7 linked regions of the Macaca mulatta genome follow. The main gene of each other region encodes a partner of the protein of the gene in region 4 in a complex. Links are inferred from orthologs where the notes say so. Each region holds a gene or a part of one and is shown on either strand. Other genes may lie near its edges.

Region 1 (4,313 bases), on a different chromosome or scaffold from region 4:
GCCTCGACCTCCCAAAGTGCTGGGATTACAGGCGTGAGCCACCGTGCCCAGCCGTGAATTTCTAACATTCTTTTAGTTCTCTGTACATGCTAAGGGCATCGGCTGCATCATTTCATCCAATTTTATCATCAGCGACCTTATGAGGCAGGCACATAATTATCCCCATTTTACAGAAAGGAAGACTGAGGCCCAGGCAGCAGAAAACGCCTCTCCATAAATACCCGGCTGGTAAGTTTCAGAGCCAGGAAACCAGGTCTTCCAGAGACTCTAAGAGCTGCCTTTTTAACCTCTCCCAGGCCTGGGTAGAATTGGAAGACTCCCTGAGGAGGTGTGCTTGCCTGGGCCACGATGAATGAGAATTTGACCAGTGAGATGGGAATTCTGTGTGCAGCCACTGCATGCCTTTGCAAGAGGTCCAGCCTGGGGATCCAGGACTTGCAGTTGGACGAAAGAGTTTCCTCTACCTCTGGGCTAAGGGCAAGGAGAAGGGACGGGTGCTCACCTCAGGGTGAATACACAAGTTTTTGCGGGAGCTCAGAGCCAGCCCCAGAAATGGCAGCTTCTCGCCCTCCTGCTTCTCATAGAAGTTGAGCAACTTTCGAAGCTCTTCGATCACCTACTCCAAAGTTGGGGGGGGGCAGGGGGAGCTTGTGTTCATTGGAGGCACAAACCCCTGCCCTGCCAGGCCCCAGCCTCTTCCCGAGCTTCCCAGACACCCCCGAAAGCTGGTGATGGCCACCACCAGGGGGACCAATAGGGCCTAGGGAACAGTGGAGCTGGAGCACCAGGATGAGTCCAGGCTCACCTTCTCAATCTCCGGCACAGTTCTTGAGCAGTAGATGAGTTTGGTCACCTCCAGCGGATATGCCTGCCGATAACAAGTGGACTCAGTCCCTGTCCTATCCCTTCTTTTGTCTGCCTTTACGGGTTCAATGCATCACTCACCCGCTGGTATGCCATGATCAGGGCCAACAGGGACACTGTCTTCCCAGTGCCTGAGGGCATCTCCAGGACTCCATGACCCTGCATGTTGGGAACCAGAGGGACAACACACAGGGTCTCAGAACCTCGGGCACACAAACTCTGGGGACTCTCCCTGACCTCCAATGCCACCAACTTGGAACAGCAGGATAACACAGCAGCAGTTAAAATTGGGCAGTGGGGTTCAAACCCACTTCTGCCTCCTCCTTGTTGAGTGGTCTTAGGTGAGTACCTTCACCTCCCCAGACCTCAGTATCCCTACCTCTAAAATGGGCCTAAGGCCGGGCATGGTGGCTCACGCCTGTAATCCCAGCACTTTGAGAGGTCGAGGCAGGTGGATCACCTGAGGTCAGGAGTTCGAGACCAGCCCGGCCAATATGGTGAAACCCCTTCTCTACTAAAAATACAAAAAATTAGCCGGAAGTGGTGGCGTGCACCTGTGATTTTGTCTCAAAAATAAATAAATAAAATAAAATGGGCCTAATAATAAAACCTTCCTCATAACATGACTGTGAAGATTAGTGAGAAATTGCACATTAAATATTTAGCACAGTAGCTGATATATAGTGAACTTTTCTCCCTTCTTTTTTCAGAGACAGGTCTCACTCTGTTGCCCAGACTGGAATGCAACGGCACAATCATGGCTCACTGCAGCCTCCAACTCCTGGCCTCAAGCGATCCTCCTGCCTCAACCTCCCAAGCAGTGGGGACTACAGGCAAGCACCACCACACCCAGCTAATTTTCTAATTTTTCGTAGAGATAGGATCTTGCTGTGTTGCCCAAGTTGGTCTCCAATACCTGGCCCCAAGTGATCTTCCCGCCTCCACCTCCCACCAAAGTGCTGGGATTACAGGCACTGAACCACCGCGCCCAGCCTATTGACCATTATTATTTTATTTATTTTTGAGACCGAGTCTCACTCTGTCGCCCAGGCTGGAGTGCAATGTGGCACTCTGTCGCCCAGGCTGGAGTGCAATGGCGCCACGTCGGCTAGCTGCAACCTCCGCTTCTCGGGTTCAAGCGATTCTCCTGCCTCAGCCTTCTGAGTAGCTGGGATTACAGGCGCCCGCCACCACACCTGGCTAATTTTTGTATTTTTAGAAGAGACGGGGTTTCACCACGTTGGCCAGGCTGGTCTCGATATCCTGACCTCAAGTGATCCGCCCTCCTCGGCCTCCCAAAGCGCTGGGATTACAGGCGCGAGCCACCGCGCCCAGCCTATTCACCATTATTATTTTAGATAACGGAAGATTATGGGGTCCTGGATTTCCAAGGACCTCCTACTTCTAAAATCCAGACGTCCTGCAATCTGTCTTAGGCCCAGGCGTGGCAGCCCCACTGGTCGAGTGGGCGGGTCGGGCCCACCGGCCACCCACCTTGGCGTCCAGCGTGCGTTTGAGCTCCCGCATGTAGGAGAACTGCTCGGGGTAGATGTAGTCGTAAGGGAAGTAGACCAGGAGCCCGTCCACGTTGAGCCTGGCGGCAGTGGCTGCTGGGTCAATCCCCGTCCCCTCAGCCCCTCTCCCGCCTCCACACTGCCCGGTCGTCGGGCCCAGAAGGGTGACCTGCCCGGCGCCCCTGGTAACCCTCAGGTCCTCAGGAGCCTCAGTGCCTCCTCGCTATCACCGCTGTTCCCTGCGGCTGCCCCCGCCCCACCCCTTCACCCTCCCCTGGCCCCACTGGGGACCCAGGCACGCCCACCGGTGACCCCATCTTCAAGACACCCCCGCGCCCGCTCGCGAGCCGCGACCCCCCGGCCCCCTTCTCACTTCATGGCGCCGGCCGGAGTGTGCAGTGGCGTCCACCCGCCTCCCTCATGAATATTTAGCGAGAGGCCGGGTCGTGGACATCCTCAAGGGCTCGCTCCACCTATATTACAAGACCATTGGCTGATCTGCCCGTCAATCTGCTAGGGCAGAGCCAATCGGGATACTGCGCGTGCGCACGGAAAAGCGAGGGCTGCTGACTCTCGGGAGAGGCGGTTCGGGAGGCGTCACTGAGGATCGTCGAGGGCCAATCAAAAAGAAAACATGGAAGGGAGAGATCCGAGAGAATCGATCTCATTCGCTAGAATTTGGTCCTCCTGCGCCTGCCAAGATTGTCTGAGTATTGATCGAACCCAGGAGTTCGAGATCAGCTTGAGCAAGATAGCGAGAACCCCCGCCCCTCCACCTGGTCTCAAACAAACAAACAAAAAAAATTCGTCTCAGTAGCGAATAGAGATTCTAACGGAGAATGACAGGGACACTGGTGATCCTTTCTGGGCCCGAGAGTTAGAAATGGCTTTGCAGCACCAAAAATGCATTTATAAAATACGTGCTGTAAAACAAAAAAAGTAATACAAATAATTTTTAAATAACATAAAATAAAAACAAATGAATGAAAACAAATCAAAATAAAATAATATACATGGTCAAAATGATATAAAATACAGGATGTATCCCAGACTTCTGTGGTATAAATAACTTATAAACAGCTCTTCCTATTTATTGAGCACCTACTTTTTGCCAAATACTGTGATAGGTGTTTTAATAAGGGAATAACGAAAAGGCAGTGTGGTTTAGTGGCTAAGTTGTGGGCTCTGGAACCAAAATTCCTGGGTTCATAATCCTGGCTTCACTTTTGTTGCCCAGGCTGGAGTGCAATGGCGTGATCTCAGCTCACTCAAACCTCCACCTCCCAGGTTCAAGCAATTCTCCTGCCTCAGCCTACAGATTAGCTGGGATTACAGGCACACCACCACACCTGGCCAGTTTTTGTATTTTTTTTAGTAGAGATGGGGTTTCACCATGTTGACCAGGATAGTCTTGATCTCTTGACCTCGTGATTCGCCCGCCTTGGCCTCCCAAAGTGCTGGGATTACAGGTGTGAGCCACCACACCTGGCCTGGGGTTACACTTTTGTATCTGCAAAGTAGTTAACAATCAGACTATCTACAATGTAGGTGATGCTACATTGTAGCATTACAATAATCTAATTGTTAATTAGAGACTATTACTATTGTTAATTACATATTACTATTGTAGATAGTCTGTTAATTAGGTGAGTTAATTTCAGATCACATAAAGCAGTTAAAACTGGGTTTAGCACATACTAAGCATTCAATAAATGCTAGTTTTGGCTGGGCATGATGGCTTACACCTGTAATCCCAGCATTTTAGGAGGCCGAGGTGGGTGGATCACCTGAGGTCAGGAGTTCGAGACCAGCCTGACCAACATGGAGAAACCCCGTCTCTACTAAAAATACAAAATTAGCCAGGCATGTTGGCATGTGCCTGCAATCCCAGCTACTCAGGAGGCTGAAGCAGGAGAATTGCTTGAACCTGGGAGG
Region 2 (3,555 bases), on a different chromosome or scaffold from region 4:
CAGCTCGCTCTCGGAGAGCTCAGGCCGCTCCTCCTGCAGCTGCCGCCGCTTCTCCTCCGAGAAGATGAACATGGCCGACACGGGCCGCTTGGGCTTCTCGGAGCCGCCCTGTCCAGGTGCAGAGGGTCGGGGTCCGTGGTGCTGCCAGGGAGCCCAGTCTTGCCCACCCCCGCCTGCGCGGCCGCACCCTCTGCCCACCTTGCCCCCTTCCTGGGCTGGCTTCTTGGAGGCGGGGCTGGTGGCCTGCTTCTTGTTGATGTTCAGCATCTTCTCCTCCCCCAGGACCCGCTGCTGCTCCTCCTCAGGCAGGCTCTGGAGAGGAAAGAGGGGCACAGGGCTCACGAGGGCTCTGCCTGCCAAGCCCCAGTCCTCTCTGCCCACTGCCCTACTGGAGGAACACTTACCTCCAGGAAACGGAGCAGCTCCACCTCGTAATCTTTCTTTTTCTGGGAAAGTGAGTGGAGTCAGGATCATTCTGGTGACAGTGTCACCACAGACCCTGCAGTACTCGGAGGACAGTGACCTTCAGTGGGCCTCCAGAGCCTGGGTGTGGGCTGGACTCCCTGCCTGGATGGGCTCAGTTGCTAAGCCCAGCCCAGCCCCACACCGAATTGGAGGCAAGTACCCAAGGCACACGCCACCAGGGACTGACTAGCCCAAGATGGGATCAGACCTCATGCTTCAAAACCCCAAGGCAGGGTGGCCCCTGCCACAGCTCACCTGGTCACACTTCTTGTGATAGGCGTCCTTCTCCTTCTGGGACAGCAGCTTCCACTGCTGGCTGCACAGCACCATGCGCTCCGTGCTGGGCACGTCCTTCATGTTGGCCATGAGCTCTGCGCAGTACAGCGAGTAGCTGTTCCTATCAGAGCCATGGGGAGAGAGGCGCAGCCCGTGAGCAAGCAGGACAGCAGGCCGCCTCACCCGTAGAGCCCAGCCCAACTTCCCAGCTGCCCACTCGCCCACCCACCCCAGGGCAGCACTCACGGAGGTGGCTTAGTGGGTCGCCCATCAAACTTGTCCTTGAGCTGGCGTTCAGCTTTGGTGAGGGTGGACTTGGTGATACCCTCCTCACTGATGTTCAGCTCTGGGTGCTTCTGGATATAGTCTCTCATGATCTCCTGCAGAGCCAGGTGGGGGGATGGAGGGCAATGGGGTGTGGGGTTAGCTGCGGCAGGGGCACGGGGAGAGCCGCTGGGGAGGGCAGGCAGGGAGCAAAGCTGGGAATGGCTGCGCGTCAATGGTGTCACATGAGACATGGTGCCCTGCCCTGCCCTAGCCTGAGATCTCATAGGGGTGGGGGGTGGGGAAGGTAGGGGCAGAGGTGAGGGGCCCAGAAGGCCCCTCCCTCAACAGAGGATGGGGAGTGACACCTCCCGCAGAGTGCGGTGGCCACGGAGTCAGAGGGCAGAGGCTCGTGAAGAGCCGGACAGGGAGGAGCGCAGCGGAAGCCTAACCTCGTACTCCTTCCGCTGCTCCAGGGCCTTATGAATCCATTTCAGCCTCTTTTTGTCCGAGAGCTGAGACCACTGCTTCCCCAGGGAGTCCTTCACCTCCTTCGTAGTGGCCTGCAAACCAAAAGCCGTCAGACACGCACAGGCAGCCAGGGGCAGGGGGAGGGGGAGGGGGGAAGGGGGCACAGATGCCCCCGCCCCCTCAGGCCATGGGAGGTCACATCAGTGTCCCCCACAGGCCAGGAGGGGAAGGCGGAGAGCGGCAATCCCGCCTAGGTGCAAGGGGACTGGCTCATACACGCACGCACGCACACGCTCGCACGCCAGCTGGCCCGGGCCCTGTCCATGCAGCCCACCCCTGGGGAGGGGCCTCCTCTCCTGCTCCCCTGCACCGTGCCCGGCCGACCTGGTGCGGCTCCCCCCTGGCCACCGCCGTGCATCCTCCATCCCCAGCCCTTGGCCGGACACTCACATCTGGCCGCACTTTGAGATACACCTTCTTCTCGTGGGTGTACCACAGCTGCTGGGGGGTTTTGGGCTTCTCTGGGATGTCCGATTTCTTGGCATTCTGGATTAGGTCGGGGTGATCCTCCCTAGCCAGGACATGGGGAGCAAGGATCAGCAGGGGACGCTGTCAGGGCAGACCCAAGCTAGCTGCCCCACCCACCAAGCCTCCTGGGCCTTTCAGCTGGGGCTTAGTGGGACAGTGGCTGCCTGCCTGTCCCTGCCCCTGAGCATGACACACTAGGGCTCACATGTGACCCATCCTCTTCCATGCCTCAGAGATGGCAAACTCCAGGCTCTGGCCAGGGTTAGCCTATTCTGCTGCCCCCAGTTCCCCATAGCCCTCCTCTGGGCTCCACTGCCTTACCTGAATCGGGCCAGGTTTCGCTCGAACTCCTGTTTCTCTCTCTGGAAGTCCTGAATATATTTCATCTGGGGGGAGGAGGGGATAGGGTCACCCAGGACCCAAGGGTATCTTGCCCTGAGCTATGAAGGCTACCCAGGCCCCTCCTCGCTGGCTCTTCTGCCTCCCACGCTGTGATGCAGGGAGTGGAGGCTGGTGCCCTGCCCGCCTCCCGGCGGGACTCACCACAGAGCAGACCTGCTGGCTTCTACCACAGATGGTGGGAGCTGCAGGGGCTGCCCAGACACTGAATCCTATATCCTATTCTCTCCTTCTGAGCGAGAGTCCCAGAAGGGGGCCATGGCATTACCCACAGTCACACAGTGCGTGGTGGCAGCGCTGAGGCTCCCCCACTCGTTTCTCCAATACCACAGAACTCTCACAGTGGAGTCGGGTGCAGGCCTTGCTCCCTCTTCTCACTGTCTATGAGGCAGCTGACATTAGTCTGGCCCCTTGGAGGTGGCCTCTACATGGGGCCAGGGCTGGGCTGAGTCCTATTTCCAAGGCATGAGGGGAGATTGTGTGGAGGGGAACCCAGAGTAAGTTCTTCCAATACAAGTCACAGCCAGCTGCCCTGCACCTTCCCGCCTATTTCTGACACCATTACCTTCTTCCCTTTCTCTAGGATCCCAGCTGTCTGTCCCCTCCAGCCCTCCCTCCCTCAGCCCACTCATTCTCTCCCACCACTTGGCTTCCCTTCCCTTCATCACCCCCTTTTTGGCCTCCCCACTGCCTTCCCACCCTCACCTCACTCCCTCCCTGCATCTTTCCCCACTTCTGCAAAGTCTCCCTCTTGTTCCTCCTTTCCAATGTGTCTCTTTCTCTTCATCAACCTCCTCTCTTGGCTGCCACGCAATGTCCATCTCTTCTTTCATCCTCGCAGGCTCACAAGAGTGGCACTGGCAGGTGCCAGGAGCTCATGGCAATTGAGCCCAACCCGCCTCTTATAGAAGCACCAGACAGAGAGAGGCAGCGCTCCTTTCCCATAGTTCCCACAGAAAACCAGAAGCAGAGCTCAGCCTCCTCTTCTCCAATCTCAGTCCTCCTCAGACAAAACAGTTTTAGAGCTGGAGAACACCACACAGACCTGGCTCACCTCACATAAGGACCAGGCCCAGAGAAGTAAAATGACTTACCAAAGGCCCCATACACAGCGATTCAGTGGCAGAGCCAGGAGAACAGGCCCAAGTCTTG
Region 3 (3,555 bases), on a different chromosome or scaffold from region 4:
GAAAGACTGCAAGTAGGTACAGGGTTTTGGTTTCATGGGAGAAAAAAAGGTTCTAAATTTAGAGTGTGGTAATGGTTGGCTGCACAACTCTGTAAACATATGAAAATACATTGAACCGTACAATTTAAATGGATGGTGGTGTATTAACAACGTCTTGATAAAACTAAAAAAAAAAAAGATCACTCTGGTTGGAAAAAGAGAACAACTCTTTCAAGAAGTTTTGCTGAAAGAGAGTAAAACTAGGAAGCATAGTCAATGGGGGAAGTTTGGGCCAAAAGACGATTTTAAGACAGAATAGGCTGGGCATGGTGGCTCACACCTGTAATCCCAGCACTTTGGGAGGCCAAGGTGGGCGGATCATGAGGTCAAGAGATTGAGACCATCCCGGCCAACATGGTGAAACCCCGTCTCTACTAAAATACAAAAAATTAGCCGGGCGTGGTGGTGCACGCCTGTAGTCCCAGCTACCCAGGAGGCTGAGGCAGGGGAATCACTTGAACCCAGGAGGTGGAGACTGCAGTGAGCCAAGATTGTGCTACTTCACTCCTGCCTGGCGACAGAGCAAGACCCTGTCTCAAAAAAAAAAAAAAAAAAAAGAGTAACAAAATTTTTACATGATGATGGGAAACATCCATAAAGAGGGGGGAAAAGGAAGAATTATTGGAATGAATATTTTATTCTCCTTTAAAATAACAGGTAAAAAGAAGTATGTAAATAAGGTCCCAATACAAACTCTCCACCCAAAAGTAGTTTTAGTAGCTTTTAGCAAAATCACTGAGATTCTGTAAAAGGTACTATAGGTGAAGGTGAAGCTGGAGGCAGAAACTCCTGGGAATCTATCATTTCTTCCAGCAAACTCAAACTTTGTTTACCTCAGGTGCAGCCTGCCTTTTGTAGCTATCTGAATCTTCCAAGGTCTGAAAATAACTGTACATGTATTCTGCAGCTTGCTGCCATTGGTGCTTCAGCAGAGCTTCTTGGACAAAACTTAAACAAGCACTTGTTGTCTGAGCAAAATCCTTCTTCCTTTTCCCTCCAATGGCTATAAAAATGAAAAAGAAAAGAGTTTTTATCCACAATGGCTCCAGTTCAACTATTCAAAAAACTTACTTCTGATGAGAAGTTTTAACAAGTAAACAGTAGGCATTACTTGATCCAGCCCATTTCCAGTATCAAAGCCAGCTTCACTTGAAACAAACCCTTCTACATTATATTAATTATTTTTAGCAGATAAAAAAATATCTAATTTGATGTTTTGGGGCTACTAGAGTCATCAGAGCCTTTAAATCTGATTCAATCATCCTTTAATCCTTGTGCTAAATAATTTGGGTAGAATCTCTCAAACAGGCCCCCAAAAGCACAGTCCCAGGTATTTAGAATGGGTAAAATGCCAGGTCATTCTAGGCAAACATGGTCTTTATTACCTACCCATGTTCTGCAAACTCCAAGTGGGCTTTCATTTTTTAAGGACCAAATTCCTAGTAACTCAATGATATTAAATACAAATGAGATTAAAACAGTTGCAAAAATAAACATTTATATCTCTAAAGTATTGGCAATCCCAATGTTAAGAACATTTGGGCTTAGATACAGGGCTATTATATAAATGACTAGTTACATTGCTACCTCTTCTTCTCTTCCCACAGAACTACGAGACCCCTCTAGTCCAGCTGGGTAATTGTACCCCAGTAAGTACACAAAGACCAACAGGTACTTTGCAAAGATACTTTTAAAACAATTAACTTGCAGATCTTTGATTTCCTTACATACCCTTTCCACAAGTTAATCTCCTAGACAGCTGTGCCTACATAGTCAAAGCTTCACAATCAAAATCATTACATATTATCTGAAGGTGAAAACACAGGTGTTGAAAAAGTAAATAACTCTAACATCTCCTTTGGCAAGTCAGCCAATTCCCAATTCTTTGCTTATCAAAACTGCAGAACAACATAATTTTTTACAATAAATCATGTAATTTTTCATGAATAATTTAGAAGAAATTCAAGGACCTGATGCATGGCTATAATTAAACTCCATTCACTGCCATCTTCTTACTTATGTGACTAAGGTTTCTCAGAATTTATGTCAGTTAAAAAAAAATAGCATAATCAATGCTAAATCTTTTCTCATCCTAGAAATACATAAAAGTCACCCACAAATATATAAAAAAAAAATTGGGAAAAAGTTTTAGATAACTTTATTTAAAAAAAAAAAAAAAAAGAAAAAGAGAGAGTCTTGCTCTGTCACCCAGGCTGGACCGCACTAGCACAATCATAGCTCACCGTAGCCTTGACCTCCTGGGTTCAAGTGATCCTTCCTTTTGGCCTCTCAAAGTGCTGGGATTATGAGCATGAGCCACCACACCTGGCCAGCAACACTTTTAATACATGTAATATTGATCAGCTATGTACAACTATTAATGATAGCAACGTCTCAACCTAGAAAAGTTTTAATTCTTAAAACTTATAGGATATAAACACAAAAAAGTATAAATGTTGATACATAACTTTTATTGCAAGAAGTACAACAAAAAGGAACATAAAATTCCATCTATTAAAAACTTTTTCTTAATTTTTAAATGGATAATGCAAGGTATTAAAACTGTATGTCACTCCTATGCTATCTGGACTCCATCACATATAAAGTAATATATATTCATTTAAAAATACCAACGTGCTGGAAATTACAACTCTTGAAAATATTAAACATACAATAAAATATTTTCAGATGATTCCTTAAAACTGTGCAAGGTAGTACTCAATTTTTCAGAAAAAAGTAGGGGATACAAAAGTGAAAAGTTTGAAGACTACTGCGCTAGTGTTCTCAGACTTTTGAACGTACATACAAATCACCTGGGGACCTGCCTGTGCTACTCAATGTGGTCTTGGAACATGCAGCAGAAGTATCACCTGGAATCTCATTACAACTACAGAGTACTATGCCCAGCTCTCTGAATCAGCAGCTGCATTTTATAAGATCCCCACACCAAAGCTGCTCAGCGTCGGTGGCAATACCAGCCAGCCAGCCTAGGAAACTGACAAAACACCTCATCCTTACAACATCTTTTATTTACCTAAAGGAGAGAACTGTTCTCAGGCTAAGCTCCCTTCTATCGCTCAAGCTTTCACAACTGAGACTACAAATGGACTTTAGATAACTATACCTAAATGCTTGGAAAATACTTTTGTCTTCCAACCTAGCCTAGTTACCTCAGGAAAAGTTCTCTTCTCATTTCATTCTTTAATGAGCAAAAGATAGTCTTACTTGATCCTGATAACTTTAAGAAAAAAAAAATGGTCAAGGAAAACACATTTTTACATGGAATAGAGATGTACAATAAAGAACTAGTGTCATCAACCTAACTTCTAATATGCTACTCAAAGAATCTGGAAACTTATCAGTCTGTCAACAAATATTTTTTGGGCACCACTGTGTGCCAAGCACTACTGCAGGTACTCATCATACAGCTTCAATCCAGACTGGCCCTGTCTTCAAAGTTTTTGTTCTAAGGGGCTTGCTGGGCATGCCCTTCAAAATGCCAAAAGATATCTACCA
Region 4 (4,199 bases):
ATCTCGGCTCACTGCAAGCTCCCCCTCCCGGGTTCAAGCAGTTCTCCTGCCTCAGCCTCCCGAGTAGCTGGGACTACAGGCGCCCGGCACCTCACCTGGCTGTTTTTTTTTTTTTTGTATGTTTAGTAGAGACGGGGTTTCACCGTGTTAGCCAGCATGGCCTCAATCTCCTGACCTCGTGATCCACCCGCCTTGGCCTCCCAAAGTGCTGGGATTATAGGGGTGAGCCACCGTGCCTGGCCTAAATCTGGCTCTTCAGATTCCAAGAGAGAGAGTACAGGAGCCTCTGCTCAGTCTGAAGAGCACCCAGAAGGAGGGAACCTCAGCCCTGAGATGGAAGGCTCTCCTGGCAGCACCTCCTGCAGGGGTACCTGTGGAACAGGCTGGCCCCAGGGCTAGGAGAATTCATGGCCCAGTCGGCTTCCCTGGGCTGCCGCGGTGTGAGAGCTGGGCCTAGTCCTGGCCCCTGACATCCTAGTGAGGGCTGGGACCTTGGTAGTTCTGAAAGACCTTTACTGGATTGTTCCTTCCAGAGTGGGGGATGGGACACACACACGCTGTGGCGAGGCATTGCGCCAGCTCCTGGATGCCTCAGCCTTGTGAACTTGGGGCAGGATGCTCATGGCCCATGGTCAGCATGGCAGGTAGGCGGATTCCAGCCTGGTCACTTCTCCAGGGGTGCATAATTGAGCAGCTTCTCGATCAGGTCCACGTGGGCCAGCAGCATCCGGCGGCAGCAGTAGCGCTTCAGGCCCAGGGCGTCCAGCGCATCCCTGTGTCAAGCGAGGGGAGGAACAGAGAGGCCAGCTGAGTTCTCCACGGTCTGCACAGGCCTGGAGCCCACATCCAGGCCGCCTCTCACTGCCTGCTGGCCTCACTCCCCTGCTACCGGCAAGGCGAACACATTCACCTGGATGAGAAGTAGAGACCTAGGGGTATGATCCTGGTTGGAGTAACCTGGCAATGCCCAGATCCCTGGGTGGAGCGTGAGGAGCCTTCTCTCCCACCTACTCTGGCTGTACATATGTGTGTCTAACATATGTAAGAAATATAAATGAAACGAAAACTAGAGGTAATTGGGGGAGCATAGAAAACCAAGGCCACCGAGGTCCTGATGCGCAGCTCCCCTCATCCCGCACCAGCCACAGCAGGGTAGCTCTCCAGGGGCCTGCCCTTAGCTGGTTCATCCCCCACCCCAGAGCAAGCCCTACTCTGCCACTGTGGCGTCTTTTCTCACCTCTGCTTCCTTCAATCAGGGAGAGACTGCTTCTCCAGGGAGCCACCTCTCCCATTTCCCAAGCCAATTAGAAGCTTTAATTTCCCTGGGACCAAGGTCCAGTCACCATCAATACTTCCAGAAAACTCCCACACTGATGGCTCCAATGTGCAGAGAGAGAAGCTTGGGAAAGGGGAGGCCACATGGGAGGCCCCTGCAGTTCATATCCCTGGGAAAGGGTCTGGACAGGCCACCAGCCACTCACTCTGGCAGCCCACTCGCTTTACTCATTCGTCCAGCAAGCTGCACTGAGAGCCTATGGCAGGCTGGCACACACGAGCCTGGGGTTTCACATGTGACCAGGACTCAGCAGGCAAGGGTCAGACTCCAGCAGGGGCACCAAGACTCAGGCACGGTGGTGACAGCAGCACCGAGGGACAAGCACAGGAGAAGGATGCCTCCCCCACAAAGCCCGATGATGAGGGTGGTCAGCAAGTCTGCCCTGCATTTCTTTTTCTGTGTGTGTGTGTGTGTGTGTGTGTGTGCGTGACACGGAGTTTCACTCTCTCATCCAGGCTGGAGTGCAGTGGCGTGATCTCGGCTCACTGAAATCTTCACCTGCCTCCCAGCCTCAAGCGATTCTCTCGCCTCAGCCTTCCAAGTAGCTGGGACCACAGGTGTGCACCACCAAGTCCGGGGAATTAAAAAGATAAGAGGGCCAGGGGCGGTGGCTCACACCTGTCATCTCAGCACTCCAGGAGGCCGAGGCAGGTGGATCACCTGAGGTCAGGAGTTCGAGACCAGCCTGGCCAACATGGCGAACTCCTATCTCTACTAAAAATACAAAAATGAGCCGGGCGTGGACACGCCTGTAGTCCCGGCGACTGGGGAGAATTCCTGGAGCCCAGGAAGCAGAGGTTGCACTGAGCCGAGATCGCGCCGCTGCACTCCAGCCTGGGCGACAGAGCGAGACTCCGTCCCCAAAAAAAAAAAAAAAAAGAAAAAATTTCTGGAGATCAGGGTCTCCCCAGGTTGTCCAGGCTGGTCTCGACCTCCTGGGCTCAAGCAAGCCTCTCGCCTCGGCTTCCCAAACTTCTGGGATTACAGGCGTGAGCCGCCGCGCCCGCCCGTCCTGCAGCGAGGTTTGCAGGACATGGGGTGGGTCTGGGAGCAGAGACGAGAGATTAGGACGGAGACCAAGGGCTTTACTGCGGGTGACAAGACGCCTGCCACCCGCCAGGCCACCTAGAATCCCCAGGACACCACTGGTTTGAAGCCCAACTCCGTTCTCTCCCCAGACTTCAGGGGACAATGTTCTCCCGAAAGCAGATCACAGAGCTGGGCCGGAGTGGCCGGGTATGAAGCTGCTCATGGAGCGCCGGCCCCAGGCAGCGCTGCGCCTCCCGCCCCGGCCCGCACCCCAGGGCGGACTCAGCCCCCAGCCCCGGCCCCAGCCCGCGCCTCACCCCTCAGTGTACTCGGCCTGCAGCAGCCCCAGGTAGGCCTCCCACTTGTTGCCGACGATCTTGCCGCAAGTGAAACACCGTACAGGAATGATCATGGCGGCGGCGCGTCCCAGACTGCCCGGCCCGGTCCGGCCGCACGGGAAGCACTCCCCCCAGGCCCCGCCCCGGGCGCGTCCACTATCGCGGGGGGACCGGCTCCGCTCGTTCTCCGCTGCCCCAGCCGTTCATACACTGGCCCCGGCGCAGCTGGCCGCAGTTTCCGCCGCCATGGGGATTCCCCATGCGGCCCGGGGCTCCTGGGCCTGCACGGCCGCGGCAGCAACAGACGACACACCCCCGCCCACCATCTTGGTGCGTCCCGGAGCTACGGCGTCTGAGCAGGGCCGAAAGCCGCGGTGGCGGTTCGCGTTTCTCGTGTCCGCTTGACTGACAGCTGCGCGGAGGGAGCGGACGAAGCGAGCGGGAGGCGGCGGCGCAGGTAGAGCGCCCGGGGGGTCGTGGGGGCGTGCGGCCAGGGTCTCGCGGCCCGAGGTGTCCGACCGGGAGCGGCTGGAGCCGGACGCGAGCGGGGCGCGCGAGTTCGAGCCTAGAGCCGACACGCAGCAACAAGTGGGGTCCGGCGCGGGGGCTTGGGGAGAGGGCGGGCGCGGACCGGGGCGGGTCTTCCTGCTGCCCCTCTTGGCCCCGCCGGGTAGTGGGTCCCTCCGCCTCCGCCTCTACTCGCGGGGTGTCCGGGGCTCTCGGCGCCGAGTTCGGGGGTCCCATTCTGGACGCGGCCCAGCCCCTAGGAGCGCCGTCCTGGCCTCGGCCGCGCAGTTACGGCCCCCGCCGGCTGCTCCCCGCCCCGGCCTCCTGTCCGCGTTCTTTCCGCTCCTTCCCAGGAAGGGGGTCGGGGTGCGCCCTCCCCGGTCCCGGCTCTGCTGGGCTGCTGGCCGTCCCGACGCTGAGACGCGCCTCTGAGCACGGGGAGAGGGGGCCCGGGAGGGAGGTCGGGGAGGGCGTCGTGGAAGAGGTGCTCTTTGAATTGAACCTTGAAGACCCCGGCACAGGGGACCCCTGGGCAGACTCCCGGAGGCTGCACTGGCAGGACCCGCTGAAGGCCGCAGCTCTGCCTTGCCCTGGAGCTCAGGGCCTACGGAGGACGAGGGAGGGGGAGCCCGTGTCTCTCGGATGGAGTGCGGGGGGGCTGGCACCAGCACCCTCCTTGCTGTGCCCCTAGGGTGGGGGTGAGGAAATGGGGGGTCGGTGTGCAGTAGGAGGCAAAGAAGACTCCTTGGAGGTGCCAGGTAGGCTGTGGGGGGGTGGGTGGGCTGCAAAGTGGCACCCATGGGGGGGCTCTGGGCTGGGGCTTCCAGCTGGGGTGGGACCTGTGCTGGGTTCCAGGCATCAGCTGCCGCTTTCTCAGGGCAATGCTGGGTCTGCCTTAGTTGCAGGGGAGGAGGATGAAGGGTTTTCTGGATCCAGAGTGGTGCTGGCCAGATCCACTGCACACTTGGGATTTCTGCTCCCAACCTGGC
Region 5 (4,172 bases), on a different chromosome or scaffold from region 4:
ATGTTTCAGCTCAAATGACACAGATCTAGCAAACCAGACTCCTCGAGGAGCCCCAATTTGATGTCAGACCTTCCCTCATAAGGAAGCCATCCCTGACCCCTGTTCCCCAAGCCCCCACTCCACTCTCTTTTTATTTGCTCATCCATTTGCCTCTGCCAGGCCTCATTCCTAGACAGGGTGTTTCCAAGGGGAACTAGGGGGCTGAGGATTCTAAGCAAAGGGCCAGTGTCCCTCCAGAGGCACCAGAAACCCTGGCAGGTCTATCCTCCCCTCTCCCAATCCTACTACGCTGTTTCAGCATCCTTCTGGTTTCATTCCAAGCTCTGATCACATTTTGCAAACACCTTATCCATTGGATAAAGTTCACTTGTTTATTCTCGCTCAACTCAGCTCTCCGTTCCAGGAAGGAAGGGGTCAACCGATTGATTCAGGCAGCATTTCCAGGGTCTCACATGGCATCTGGCATAGTGGGGGCATCCGTCTAGGGATGGCAGGGTAGCCCACGTGCCCCAGAGGAGGTGGCACAGCCTGTGTCTCAGCAGACTTGTGTGAATGCCACCCCACTCTGTGGCCTTTCAACCGGTATGAATGTGAGACAGGGGACCCAGGAAGGGGTGTTCCTGGAGCTGCCAGGGCCGCTGCCTCCATCCTCACCTCTGAGTTCTGGGGCTGGGTCTCCGGCAGAGTCAGCGCATGTTGCCAGCTGCACGTGAAAGAGAGGTCAGCGATGTCGCTCAGACCAAGGGGTCCAGTCATGAACAACGCGGGGCGGAGGGAGTGGGGGAAGTCCATCCCGGAAATAAGGACCAAGCACCACACTGGCCACCTCGAGAGACTGGAAGCTGGTAAGGGGCGCCAGGGTTCCTGCGGAGAGAAAAGTGCACGATGGGAAGCACATGCTCTTTGAGGAAGCAGGTAACAAAAAACAAATATGTAGCCCAATGCCAAGCAGTAATGAGAACTGTATTAAAGCAAACCACCCGTCCAGGAGAAGGGGATCTGGTAATGGGCTGAGGGCACGGTTTCAGCAAAGCCAGCCAGGAAAAGCCTCGTTGAGAAGGTGGCGTTTGAGCACAGCCTGAACCCAGTGAAGGAGAGAACCACGTACACAAATGGGGAGAGGGTTCCAGGCAAAACGATCAACAACTGGGAAAATCCTAGAGCAGTGAAGTGTGTGAGAAACGAGGCAGCCAGAGTGAGCGAGGTGGAGAGCGGTAGAGATGGAGTCAGATAGACGGCAAGGGGCAGCCTCTCTCACAGCTCAAAACGTCATCATACATTTACAGACTACACCCCCAAGACGCTGGAGTTACTCCACAGCCACGGACTGCATCTCAGCATTGTCTTCCTATTGTCAACCACAGTGCCTCCCAGAAAATGCACTACGGGTTGAATAAAAATAAATTTCTATCACAAGAGACCGGGCACGGTGGCTCATGCCGGTAATCCTAGCACTTTGGGAGGCCAAGGCGGGTGGATCACCTGAGGTCGGGAGTTCGAGACTGGCCTGACCAACATGGAGTAACCTGGTCTCTACTAAAAATACAAAATTAGCCAGGAGTGGTGACGCATGCCTGTAATCCCAGTTACTCGGGAGGCTGAGGCAGGAGATTTCCTTGAAGCCGGGAGGCGGAAGTTGCAGTGAGCTGAGATCGCGCCATTGCACTGCAGCCTGGGCAACAAGAGCGAAACTCCATCTCGAGAAAAAAAAATTATATCACAAGGCTTTGGTAAATACAGTCCTCTAGAAGTATGAGCAGCCATAGCATCCCTCCTTTTTAATTAACAAAACAAAACAGGGGCAAAAATAACAGCAGCTCTCACTGACCAAGCGCCAGCATCTATCTGCCAGGCGCAAGCTAAATGCTGCACTCTTCTACCGCAGCCCCTGTCACGGAGTTCAGGAAACCAAGGCTCAGCAAGAACTTTAGTTCAACAGCTCTTAGCTGCCACATCCAAGACTTGATTCCCATCCGATTCAGAGGCAGAGCTCTGAACCACTGCTCTCGCATGCACCCAAATGCAAACGCTAGCATTAAGAGTCTCGCGAAACAAAAATCTTTTCCCTTCGGCCGAGTGCGGTGGCTCCCGCCTGTAATCCCCGCACTTGGAGAGGCCAAGGCGGGTGGATCACCTGAGGCCAGAAGTTTGAGACCAGCCCGGCCAATATAGTAAAACCTTGTCTCTACTAAAAATACAAAAATTAGCAGGGCGTGGTGGTGCACACCTGTAATCGCAGCTACTGAGGAGGCTGGGGCACGAGAATCGCTTGAATCTGGGAGGTAGAGGTTGCAGTGAGCTGGGATCATGCCACAGCACTCCAGTCTGGGCGACAGAGCAAGACTCTATCTCAAAAATAAAATAGAAACAAAAATATTTTCTCTTGGAACCGCATAGCCTGAAACGATCCTAGGCAGGCGGAGAGGGCTGGTGGAGCGCACGACCCCACAGAAGCCCTCAGACAAGGCAGCCTCGACATCCCCGGCCGGCTTCCCGCCCTCGCTGCGGGCTCTCCAGGCCCCTTTAGACCTCCCAGGCTACAGGACTCAGTCGGGTCCGCACTAACGACAGGCCGGGGACTGCGAAACGTGAGCCAGCCGCGGGGACGGGGGATTGAGGGAGTCCCTCCCCTCCTACATCTGCGGGTCCACTCCTCTCGAACATGCCCAGTCCGCGCGGAGGGGGCGCATGCACTTACGTGACCCCGGTCTCGTCGTGGTCGTCTGGAAAATGGGCTTCGGCGTGATGCTCGCCGGACCCTGACACCACGAGGGAAATTTTAAGCAGAACCCCAGCTTTGGCACTCAGGATGGGTCAGCCCCGCCGCAGCTACTCACGGTCTTCCGGTTTGGACCGGAAGTGCCTGCTGGTGAGGCAGGAAGTCCCACCTCCCAGCCAGGCCTCTTAGGGTCCTGGCGCGCCCCCTCCCGGGAGGAGAGGGAACGGGCGTGCAGGCGGCGCGTGGGCTGCGGAAATAAAGCTCCCTCGAGTTCCAATAGTGGAGGCCGGGTGGACTTAGGTTCGAATCCCACATCTGCTTCATCAATTTCCTCAGCGTTGTATTAAATTAATCATTTAACGAACTCTCACGGAGCACCTACTATAAGCCAGACACTGTATTAGTCAGTAGGTATCCTACTGATTGTCCTTAAATCCCAAGAAGCGGGCTTCACAAATAAGGGTACAAATACCTCCTAAGAGTGAGGCTTTTCCAGGGGTGGTCGTGCAGGGAGAGCTTTAGGCAGTGGTCCTCAAACTCTAGCTAGTGTGCGTCAGCATTAGCACCTGGGGGGCTTGTTAAAACACAGTCTCCAATTCGGTGAGTCTGGGGTGGGGCCTGATAATTTGCCTAAGTTCCCAGGTGATGCTGATACTGCATATCTGGGGCACATGCTGTAAGAACCGCTGTCCAGTCATAAACCTTACCATTATCCTAACATAGTAGTTCTCAAACTTGAGTGAGCCTTAGAACCACCTGGGGGACTTGTTATAAGTATGCTGGGCTCCACCCTACCTCTGCCCCCCGATTTGCTAATTCAGTAGGTCTGGGATGTGGCCCAAGAGTCTGCATTTCTAGCAAGTTCCCAGATGGTGCTGGTCCAGGGGCCATACTTTGAGAACCGTTGCTTCAAATAATCAATTTCCAAATTCTCAGCTGTCATCTGTATCTTTATTTATTTATTTTTTTGAGATGGAGGCTAGAGTGCAGAGGCGTGACCTCGGCTCACTGCAACCTCTGCCTCCTGGGTTCAAGCAATTCTCCTGCCTCAGCTTCCCGAGTGGCTGGGATTACAGGCCTGCAGCACCATGCCCGGCTAATTTTTGTATTTTTAGTAGAGGTGGGGTTTCACCATGTTGGTCAAGCTGCTCGAACTCCTGACCTCAAGTGGTCCGCCTGCCTTGGCCTCCCAAAGTGCTGGGATTACAGGATGAGCCACCGTGCCTGGCCTATATATTTTTTTTCTGGAAGTTTTTACCTGGACTAAAAGTGTCAGCAGGGCTGTGTTCCTTTTGGGAGGTTCTAAGGAAGAGTCCACTGTGTTGCCCTTTCTGGCTTCGGGAAGCTGCCTGTGTTCCTTGGCTCATGACCCCTTTCCATCTTCGAAGCCAGCAATGCCAGCTGGATTCTTCTCATGAGGCCATCTCTCTGGTTTTGAATCTTCTGTCTCCCT
Region 6 (4,190 bases), on a different chromosome or scaffold from region 4:
AATACAAATGAGTTTGTCAGTACAATTTACCTCAACCATTAAAAACTATTTAGTCCTTCTCATTACAAGAAAACCAATTCAAATATCCGGGTTCTTGCTTTACTGTTTCACTCACTAACCTGCTTTATTTTGCCAAATCCTCCTCTTGAAGTTTGTTCATCTGTAAAATGCACATTTCTATAGTCCCTACTTTAACATTCTAATTCTATATATAAGGAAAGTATATCTGACTATGGACATCATCTTGCCTAAAGTGACTTAACTGAATTACAAAAGTATCTCTGTAAAGTGTGTGTGTGTGTGTGTTTTAACCAACAATGACTCCTCAAGACATCAGGAGGGCAATATATTTTAAATTGGGAATATCAATCTCAAATTGACAATATGTATGCTTTTCAGTAAACTAGACGGTGTTTTGGTGTTTCTGAAGTCAGTTACCTCTAAAAACCTGTTGCCTGGAGATCCAGACACGTATAGGTATAAATCTGCTTTCTTCTAGTACTCTCTACTTAATGAATCATTATTTAAGATTTTATTTTTGTGTCTTAATGAACTCACAACTTGACCACTTAACAGCTTCATAAGCTCTATAGTTGAAGGAAGGGAAATGTGTACTCTTCACAAAATACATGCCTAATAAGTAATTTAGCAGAATTGTTCACAATTTGAAAAGCCCTCAAGGTAATTTTTGAAAAGTATGTGGGCACATAGTTAGTATTCGAAACAAGAAATTTCTAAATTATTACTTAAAATTCTACGCTATATTTCAGGCAAAGCTTCTATCACGAAATACAATTTAGGTTTATCCTGATTTTTAAAAAACAGGTTATTTCAAACTTAAGAACTGGTAAATAAGAGGGCCACTAGTGGCATTAAGTGATTTGTTAGAAGGTTTCCTTCAAAAATGTTAATTCCCTGATGCAATGCTGGAAGATAAACTGGAATAATTTTTACACCGGATATCCATGTTAATATCCAAGGCAATAAAGTTCTACTTAGAATTTTTTTTAATCCAGTTTGCAGCATGTCTCTTCCCTGTAATTACTCATGATTCTCATACACATAAATGGTCCTATACTGAAGCTTTAGGTACTTATCTATTTCTCTGAAAAGCCTCGTGTCTTTTATATTTACTATAGGAAAACATAATGTAATATTGGGAGCTATATTTCTAACATATTTCTTGAATACTTAAACAAAACACTACCAAAACCGAGTCCTCTGCAGCTAACACTTTCAGTGTAGAAAACAGTTTTTTAAATTCCCGAAAATAATGCACACAAGAAAAACGGCTAGACCATCTTATCTAAAACTCTTTGTTTTAAATTATAAATTTTGAAAACTGTAAACAAAATAAAAAGGGACAGCGATTCGGATATATTTCCCCTAGCAAACAAAGAAGGCAAATCCTGGCTGCTGCTAGGAACAAAACCAAAACTTGGGGCTCTGAAAGCAGCCCCCGACGGATGAGAAATTACAGCGTGAAAAAAGGACCTAGAAATAAATTGAGCTCTGCACGCGCCTGGCTCTCGCCTCGGGAGCACGCACCTCCCAGCCCCGCTCTCAGCAGCTCTCACTATTTAAAGCCGGATCTGGTGTTTAAATGGAGAGGCGGTGACGTAGTACTGAAAAGCACCTTCCCATCCTGGCAGAGTCTATATTAGAGAGCGGCAATGGCTCTATATAAACAGGGCAGCCAAAGGGAGGAGGACCACAAGGCTCAGGGACTGAAAAGCAGGGTAAGCGGCCGCAGCCATGATGGATCGACCCGAGTCGCCAACGGTACGGTGTCGGGCGGCCGCGGGCTGGTCTGCGGCATTTGGGACAGGGCAAAAACGTGTTTTATTGTCATCATAAAAATAAGAGTTGGGTGGACTAGTGATCACATTGCGTTGGTGACTGAAAAGGTTATTTATGTGACTGCTTTTTGCAAACCTACGTGATCTCAAGTAACCAAAAAGGGACCAACGGGAAGAAGTAGGTAAATTTCAAGGCGAAAGCGGGGACACTTGGACCACTGCAGGCTTTTTTTGTTTGTTTTGGTGCTTCTGCTAGTCGAAGATACGATGGGGGTCTTCCCCTTCGCCATTTTACCCATTCGGAAGGAACTGAGATAAGTGCTTTTCAACCAACCTTCCTCCTTTTTTTAAACATAAAATGGCCCCAGTGAAGGTTCCCAAAGCACAACAGCCAGAAAAAACCTAAGTAACCCCCAAAGTAATCATTATTCTTCCACTGCATTAAAGTGGATCACGGTGGGTCTCGGGGGTTCGCCCGATTCCCCAGACACGGTTTTTGTTCTGCAGCCGCTCGGGGAGCCCTCGTCAAGACAGCACGGACGGGCCCCTCGCGGGGAAGCGGCGGCTCCCCTCCCGCCCTCCCTCCCGGCGGCCGGGTTCTGGGGCCGGGGCTGCACGCCCGCCCGGGCCCAACGGCCTCCGCGGCCCGGCCCGGCCCGCGGCTGCCCCAGGCCCCGCCGGCGCCCCCGCCCTCCCCGCGCCGCGAGCCCTCGGCGCCCCCCCGCGCCCGCCGCCCGGCGCTCCGGCCCGATCCGCCCGAGGCGGGAAGCGGCGGCGGCGGCGGCGGCGGCCGCGCGGACGGCTGAAGAGTCGAGGCCGGGAGTCGCCGCCGTCCCCGCCCCCGCCCGGTCCGGCCGTTGCTGCCGCCTGAACGAAGCCCCCGCCGGCCACCGAACCACGTCCTTACCACGGTGTTTGTATTTGCCGAGTTCGCCATTTCCACACACAACACAAACAAGAGGGGGCAACCCCAAGAAAACAAGATAAAAACAAAACCAAAAAAAAAAAAAAAAACTAAAACACCCGGAGGGTGACCCAAATCACCACAAGATTGGGGAAAAAATTTTAAACAAAATCAATCCTGAAGGAGTAAGGGAGAGCGGAGAGAGGAGGAGGGGGGCACTCCTCCCGCAGCTAAAAACCTCGAGAATCGCCTTTAAAAAAAAAGCCACGACCCTTTAGGGGTCCGGGGGGCGTTGCCCGCTCCCCACCCCGCGCCAAGGAGGGAAACCACCACCGGTCGCCGCTCCCTGCGCCGCCGCTGCCGCCACCGGCTGCAGCTCCAGCCGTCCGGTCCGCCCGCTTCTCTCCTTTATATAGCGAGCCAACAAGCTGCGCGAGCCGCCACCGCCGCCGCCGCCGCCGAGAAACAGGGTGAAGGGGGAGGGAGGGGCGGAAAGGGCGGGGGCAGATGTGGGCGGGGCTGAGCGCGAGACACCGCGAGAGCCGCGTGCGCAGGCGCGCCGGGGCGGAGGCCGCCGCGAGCCGCGTTGTCACGCGCCGTGGTGGGTGCTGGGCTGGCGGAGCCCGGGGAGTGAACTAGTGTAGTCGGACCTACGCCTCTCCAACGCTCGCCTGATCACGTGGTTGGCACCCAGGCGGAAGTCTGCGGCAGTTCTTTGCGGTGAAGTACTTGCAAAGCATTGCTGGAAAAGACGCGAGTTCTAGTGACACTCCGAAGCTAGGTGGGACCGCCTCCTGTCGCAGGTTTCCGCCCGGTCCCGCGCTGTAGGAGTTAGGAAATGTGAGAGGCGGTGCCTACTGCCTCACTAGGAATGGCCGCGGAGGAGGATTGGTCACGTGGCGTAGCTTCCGGCCTCTGGCGCGTTCCTATTCGGGAAGGTTTTAAATGCGGAGTCATCTCTTGATTTGTCAGTGAGGCTTTGACTATAAGCTTCTCGGCTTTCGCGCCTCACCAAGGGTGGGTCTTTCGCGCGCAGAATTGTATAGGATTTCCCAAAGGGAGTAAACGCCGATCGGGGCCCACTTTTAACATTCCAGAATTAGTAACCTCTGATTCGTTTGTTTCCACACTGGGTACGCTGCGAAGACTAGGCTTAAGTTGCCCAGAGGTTAGTTCTCTACTAGCCCACGTACTTTAATTTATCACGCTAGTGGAGATGCGGTGGGGAAGAAAACCCCACCAGCCTTTGGATTATAACAGCACAGTAACTTTCCCTGGTTTTTAAAAATATTGCCAAAAACTGCGACTCCGCATGGCCAACGTATAGTGACTGATCACATTGAAATGCATGCCCTTGACCCAGCAACTCTCATGGCCTCTCGCTATAAGAGAGCAAGCAGGCTGTGTTCCATGTGCAATTCAATAAGCTTTTGACCTATTCTGCCCAAGCAAATCCTGCCTTTATATCGACATTGCAAGCGGAACAG
Region 7 (3,555 bases), on a different chromosome or scaffold from region 4:
TTCTTCTATAAGCCAGGCACTCTGCTAGATCTTAAGGATATAAAATATAGTAAGACATGATCCCTTGACCTCAGACCTCAGAGATTTTTAGGAAAAAAGAAAAAAGATGATTTTTTTTTTTTTTTTTTTTTTGAGATGGAGTCTCATTCTGTCATGCCTGGCTAATTTTTGTATTTTTAGTAGAGACAGGGTTTTGCCATGTTGGCCAGGCTGGTCTCAATCTCCTGACCTCAAGTGATCCGCCTGCCTCGGCCTCTCAGGGTGCTGGGATTACCAGCACCACTGCGCCCAGCTGGAAAAAAATAATCTTACCCCTGTTTTGGAAAGAGTTCTTCAGCCACAGACTAGAGAAAACATGAAAACTGTCTTTTTTTATGATGGTAGATTAGCCCCATTGTTCTTTTTGTTTTTGTTTTTTATTTTCTTACTAGTTGTAGTAATTTTTATTTTATTTCGGGGGTACATGTGTAGGTTTGTTACATAGGTATGTTGCATGATGCTGAGATTTGGGCTGATATTTATCCTGTCACCCAGATAGTGAACATGGTAACCAATAGGTAGTTTTTTAACTCTTGGTCTCTTCTCTCTTTTTGGAGTCCCTAATGTCTATTGTTCCCATCTTTAGGTCCATGTCTACCCAATGTTTAGCTCCCACTTGTAAGTGAGAACATGTGGTATTTGGCTTTCTGTTTCTGCACTAATTCACATAGGATAATGGCTTCCAGCTGCATCATTGCTGCAAAGGATGTGATTTTGTTATTTTTTTATTAGCCCCATTATTCTGACAAACGGGAATAGATTGTCTTTCTCTCTTTTGATTTTTTTAAGAGACAGGGTTTTGCTGTGTTGCCAAGGTTGGAGTGCAATGGCTTTTCATAGTGAACTACAGCCTGGAACTCCTGGCCCAAGGAATCTTCTTACCTCAGCCTCCCAAGTAGCAGGGATTATAGGTGTGCACCAGTGTGTCCAGTTTACATTCTCTTTTTGTGAGCAAGTATTAAGGAGTTTTTAATAAAGTTAAAGTGTTTAATGAAATGACTGGAAAACACATTTAAAAACAATTTGATTTATAACTAAAATTTTTTTATATGTAGTTTGAATACAAAAGTCTGTTATAATCTCTGGTTAATGTGTCTATTAGGTGTCATTTACTTTGAATGAGGACCTTGCAAATATTCATGATATTGGTGGAAAACCGGCTTCAGTCAGTGCTCCTAGAGAACACCCATTTGTCTTGCAAAGTGTCGGAGGACAGACATTAACAGTGTTTACTGAGAGCTCATCAGGTAAGTGGGAATGGAATTATTTAATGTGATTCCTGTACTTGTTGTATAGATTTTCTGTCTCAACATACACTCCTGTTTGCTTTTTTTTTTTTTTGCGATGGCGTTTCGCTCTCGTTGCCCAGGCTGGAGTGCAGTGGCACAATCTCAGCTCACTGCAACCTCCACCTCCCAGGTTCAAGCGATTCTCCTGCCTCGGCCCCCCGAGTAGCTGGGATTGCAGGCATGCACCACCATGCCCGACTAATTTTGTATTTTTGGTAGAGACGAGGTTTCTCCATGTTGGTCAGGCTGGTCTCAAACTCCTGACCTCAGGTGATCCGCCTGCCTCTGCCTCCCAAAGTGCTGGGATTACAGGCGTGGGCCACCGCACCCGGCCTCCTGTTTGCTTTTTTAAGGTCATTACCAAGACTGTTCCATCTCTCATTTTGTGTACCTCTGTTATTCATACTATGCTACTTCTCTGCTCTGTGTACTTTCTTGTGATTAATGAAATTTTGGCCATTACTTGAGAAGGGTTTAATTATTTGGGATATGAAGATATAGAACAAAGCAGATGGAAGAATGTGGTTCATCAAGCTGCCTTCTCAGATGTTGAAGAAACAGTATTCTGAATTTTGCCAAGATAAGGTCATCGTTGCTTGTTTTAGTAAATTGATATTTAGCAAGTATAAGTTGTACTTTAAAAATACAGCTCGATATTAGGGAATATTTTAGTCTGAATTTTTCATCTTGTATGCTTTGTATACCAAGGGGACCTTTTTATTGCACAGAGATAACTTTTAATTGATATTGGCTTCTAAGAAGTTTCTGTGTAGAGTTTTAAGATTGTGTGTGTTTGCAATGAGATATTTTAACAGTTCAATAAATCAGAAGCAAATGTTTCCATTTGTGAATTAAATACAGAAGGAACTTTCTTGTGGCACACACTCAGCATGAGTATATTTTCCATGTTTTGGGATTTTTATCTTTCACTGAGTTTAGAATACTATTAAAGCAACAGGCCACCTTAGTTTAATGGAGCTAATTTTCTGCTATCTGGTTCAAAAAGCTTATTGATAAAAGAAAACATTTGTGATTTTGTTGTATTTCATCAAACATTGCAAAGGAAGCTATAAGAAATTATAGTATGTTAAGAACACCATTGGTTAAAAAAAGGTACATCCTCATAAATTTTTTTGTGGTGTCTTCAATTACCAATAGCTACATAAAATGATCTAAAAATTATTCTTTTTTTCTTGGGTGTACAGTATAACAAAATGGTAAATTATAATTCTTCAGTTATGTAGTTGAAGGTAGAAGGTTGGTTTCACTGCAGTTTTCTGATGCTCTAATAATTAATAGTGTAGTAGTATGGAAGGCAGAAAAGTAACAGTTTCTTCAATACATCCATTTTATACTGGAGAAGATTCAACCTTTCAACAAATATTTATTGCATGCTGCATAGTTCAGGGCATAGTATAGACCTATCTAAAAATCTGAAATTTGTCTGAAATTAAAAGCGCATTTGAATTCAGTATGTTAAAGAGTTTTAGTTTTGGCGGGGCGCGGTGGCTCGTGCCTGTAATCCCAGCACTTCAGGAGGCCGAAGTGGGCAGATCACCTAAGGCCGGGAGTCCGAGACCAGCTGGGCCAACATGGTGAAACCCTGTCTCTATTAAATAAAAAATTGGCCAGGCGTGGTGGCGGGTGCCTGTAATCCCAGCTACTCAGGAAGCTGAGGCAGGAGAATCGCTTGAACCCAGGAGGTGGAAGTAGAAGTGAGCCGAGATTGCACCACCGTACTCCAACCTGGGTGATGGAGGGAGACTCAATCTCAAAAAAAAAAAAAAAGAGTTAAGGAGTTTTAGTTTCAACAACTCTATTCCTTTTGATTGATGAGATTTAATAAGATCCATTGAACCTGTGAGGTTTTCTCTACTTTTGTGATTGTCCTAGAGTGGAAGAGGCATGGCACCAAGATAGTAAAAAGGAGACATCGCCTTGATAAAAGTTTGAGGTAGGGAAACTTGAACTTTTTTTTGTAGAAAAAAGTACCCTATTACAGATTTTTTACATCTTATTAAGTGACTAATTTTTTGAAAACATGATTTATTTCTGGTGCTTCTACAAAGACAGTGATTTAGAAAGCTAACATTTGTTAGCCTCAAAATTAGTCTTCCATTTTACATTTTAAAAATACTTTAGTGTTGTGCTCTTTTTGAACATTTCGTGTTCACATTTCTGGCTACAGTGTACTCTGAAGGGAACGTGGTTTTATGAGGATTATCTT

What was found.
Region 1: POLR2L (region 4) and ERCC2 share a complex: the UniProt entries of both Homo sapiens proteins name them as parts of the TBP-based Pol II pre-initiation complex. The link is inferred for Macaca mulatta from reciprocal best matches to the Homo sapiens genes POLR2L and ERCC2.
Region 2: POLR2L (region 4) and UBTF share a complex: the UniProt entries of both Homo sapiens proteins name them as parts of the pol I pre-initiation complex. The link is inferred for Macaca mulatta from reciprocal best matches to the Homo sapiens genes POLR2L and UBTF.
Region 3: POLR2L (region 4) and TAF1A share a complex: the UniProt entries of both Homo sapiens proteins name them as parts of the pol I pre-initiation complex. The link is inferred for Macaca mulatta from reciprocal best matches to the Homo sapiens genes POLR2L and TAF1A.
Region 5: POLR2L (region 4) and TAF1C share a complex: the UniProt entries of both Homo sapiens proteins name them as parts of the pol I pre-initiation complex. The link is inferred for Macaca mulatta from reciprocal best matches to the Homo sapiens genes POLR2L and TAF1C.
Region 6: POLR2L (region 4) and GTF2A1 share a complex: the UniProt entries of both Homo sapiens proteins name them as parts of the TBP-based Pol II pre-initiation complex. The link is inferred for Macaca mulatta from reciprocal best matches to the Homo sapiens genes POLR2L and GTF2A1.
Region 7: POLR2L (region 4) and GTF2F2 share a complex: the UniProt entries of both Homo sapiens proteins name them as parts of the TBP-based Pol II pre-initiation complex. The link is inferred for Macaca mulatta from reciprocal best matches to the Homo sapiens genes POLR2L and GTF2F2.

What each region holds. Positions count from the first base shown.
Region 1 is NC_133424.1:57,890,433-57,894,745, forward strand, and holds the start of ERCC2 (general transcription and DNA repair factor IIH helicase subunit XPD), read right to left. Parts: upstream 2,809-4,313; 5' UTR 2,757-2,808; coding exon 2,752-2,756; exon of another isoform or gene 2,684-2,751; intron 2,459-2,683; coding exon 2,359-2,458; intron 1,024-2,358; coding exon 946-1,023; intron 869-945; coding exon 806-868; intron 617-805; coding exon 503-616; intron 1-502. UniProt on the Homo sapiens protein: ATP-dependent 5'-3' DNA helicase. Component of the general transcription and DNA repair factor IIH (TFIIH) core complex, not absolutely essential for minimal transcription in vitro.
Region 2 is NC_133421.1:68,584,108-68,587,662, forward strand, and holds part of UBTF (nucleolar transcription factor 1), read right to left. Parts: intron 2,391-3,555; coding exon 2,326-2,390; intron 2,048-2,325; coding exon 1,927-2,047; intron 1,569-1,926; coding exon 1,458-1,568; intron 1,122-1,457; coding exon 988-1,121; intron 863-987; coding exon 721-862; intron 447-720; coding exon 405-446; intron 313-404; coding exon 199-312; intron 109-198; coding exon 1-108. UniProt on the Homo sapiens protein: Recognizes the ribosomal RNA gene promoter and activates transcription mediated by RNA polymerase I (Pol I) through cooperative interactions with the transcription factor SL1/TIF-IB complex.
Region 3 is NC_133406.1:80,428,558-80,432,112, forward strand, and holds part of TAF1A (TATA box-binding protein-associated factor RNA polymerase I subunit A), read right to left. Parts: intron 1,043-3,555; coding exon 873-1,042; intron 1-872. UniProt on the Homo sapiens protein: Component of the transcription factor SL1/TIF-IB complex, which is involved in the assembly of the PIC (pre-initiation complex) during RNA polymerase I-dependent transcription.
Region 4 is NC_133419.1:734,179-738,377, forward strand, and holds POLR2L (DNA-directed RNA polymerases I, II, and III subunit RPABC5), read right to left. Parts: upstream 2,805-4,199; 5' UTR 2,778-2,804; coding exon 2,683-2,777; intron 774-2,682; coding exon 665-773; 3' UTR 392-664; downstream 1-391. UniProt on the Homo sapiens protein: DNA-dependent RNA polymerase catalyzes the transcription of DNA into RNA using the four ribonucleoside triphosphates as substrates.
Region 5 is NC_133425.1:79,551,572-79,555,743, forward strand, and holds the start of TAF1C (TATA box-binding protein-associated factor RNA polymerase I subunit C), read right to left. Parts: upstream 2,836-4,172; 5' UTR 2,676-2,835; intron 2,346-2,675; exon of another isoform or gene 2,228-2,345; intron 1,698-2,227; exon of another isoform or gene 1,575-1,697; intron 1,383-1,574; exon of another isoform or gene 1,279-1,382; intron 900-1,278; 5' UTR 793-899; coding exon 655-792; intron 1-654. UniProt on the Homo sapiens protein: Component of the transcription factor SL1/TIF-IB complex, which is involved in the assembly of the PIC (pre-initiation complex) during RNA polymerase I-dependent transcription.
Region 6 is NC_133412.1:154,446,091-154,450,280, forward strand, and holds the start of GTF2A1 (transcription initiation factor IIA subunit 1), read right to left. Parts: upstream 2,813-4,190; 5' UTR 2,737-2,812; coding exon 2,707-2,736; intron 1-2,706. UniProt on the Homo sapiens protein: TFIIA is a component of the transcription machinery of RNA polymerase II and plays an important role in transcriptional activation. TFIIA in a complex with TBP mediates transcriptional activity.
Region 7 is NC_133422.1:24,463,023-24,466,577, forward strand, and holds part of GTF2F2 (general transcription factor IIF subunit 2), read left to right. Parts: intron 1-1,141; coding exon 1,142-1,286; intron 1,287-3,555. UniProt on the Homo sapiens protein: TFIIF is a general transcription initiation factor that binds to RNA polymerase II and helps to recruit it to the initiation complex in collaboration with TFIIB.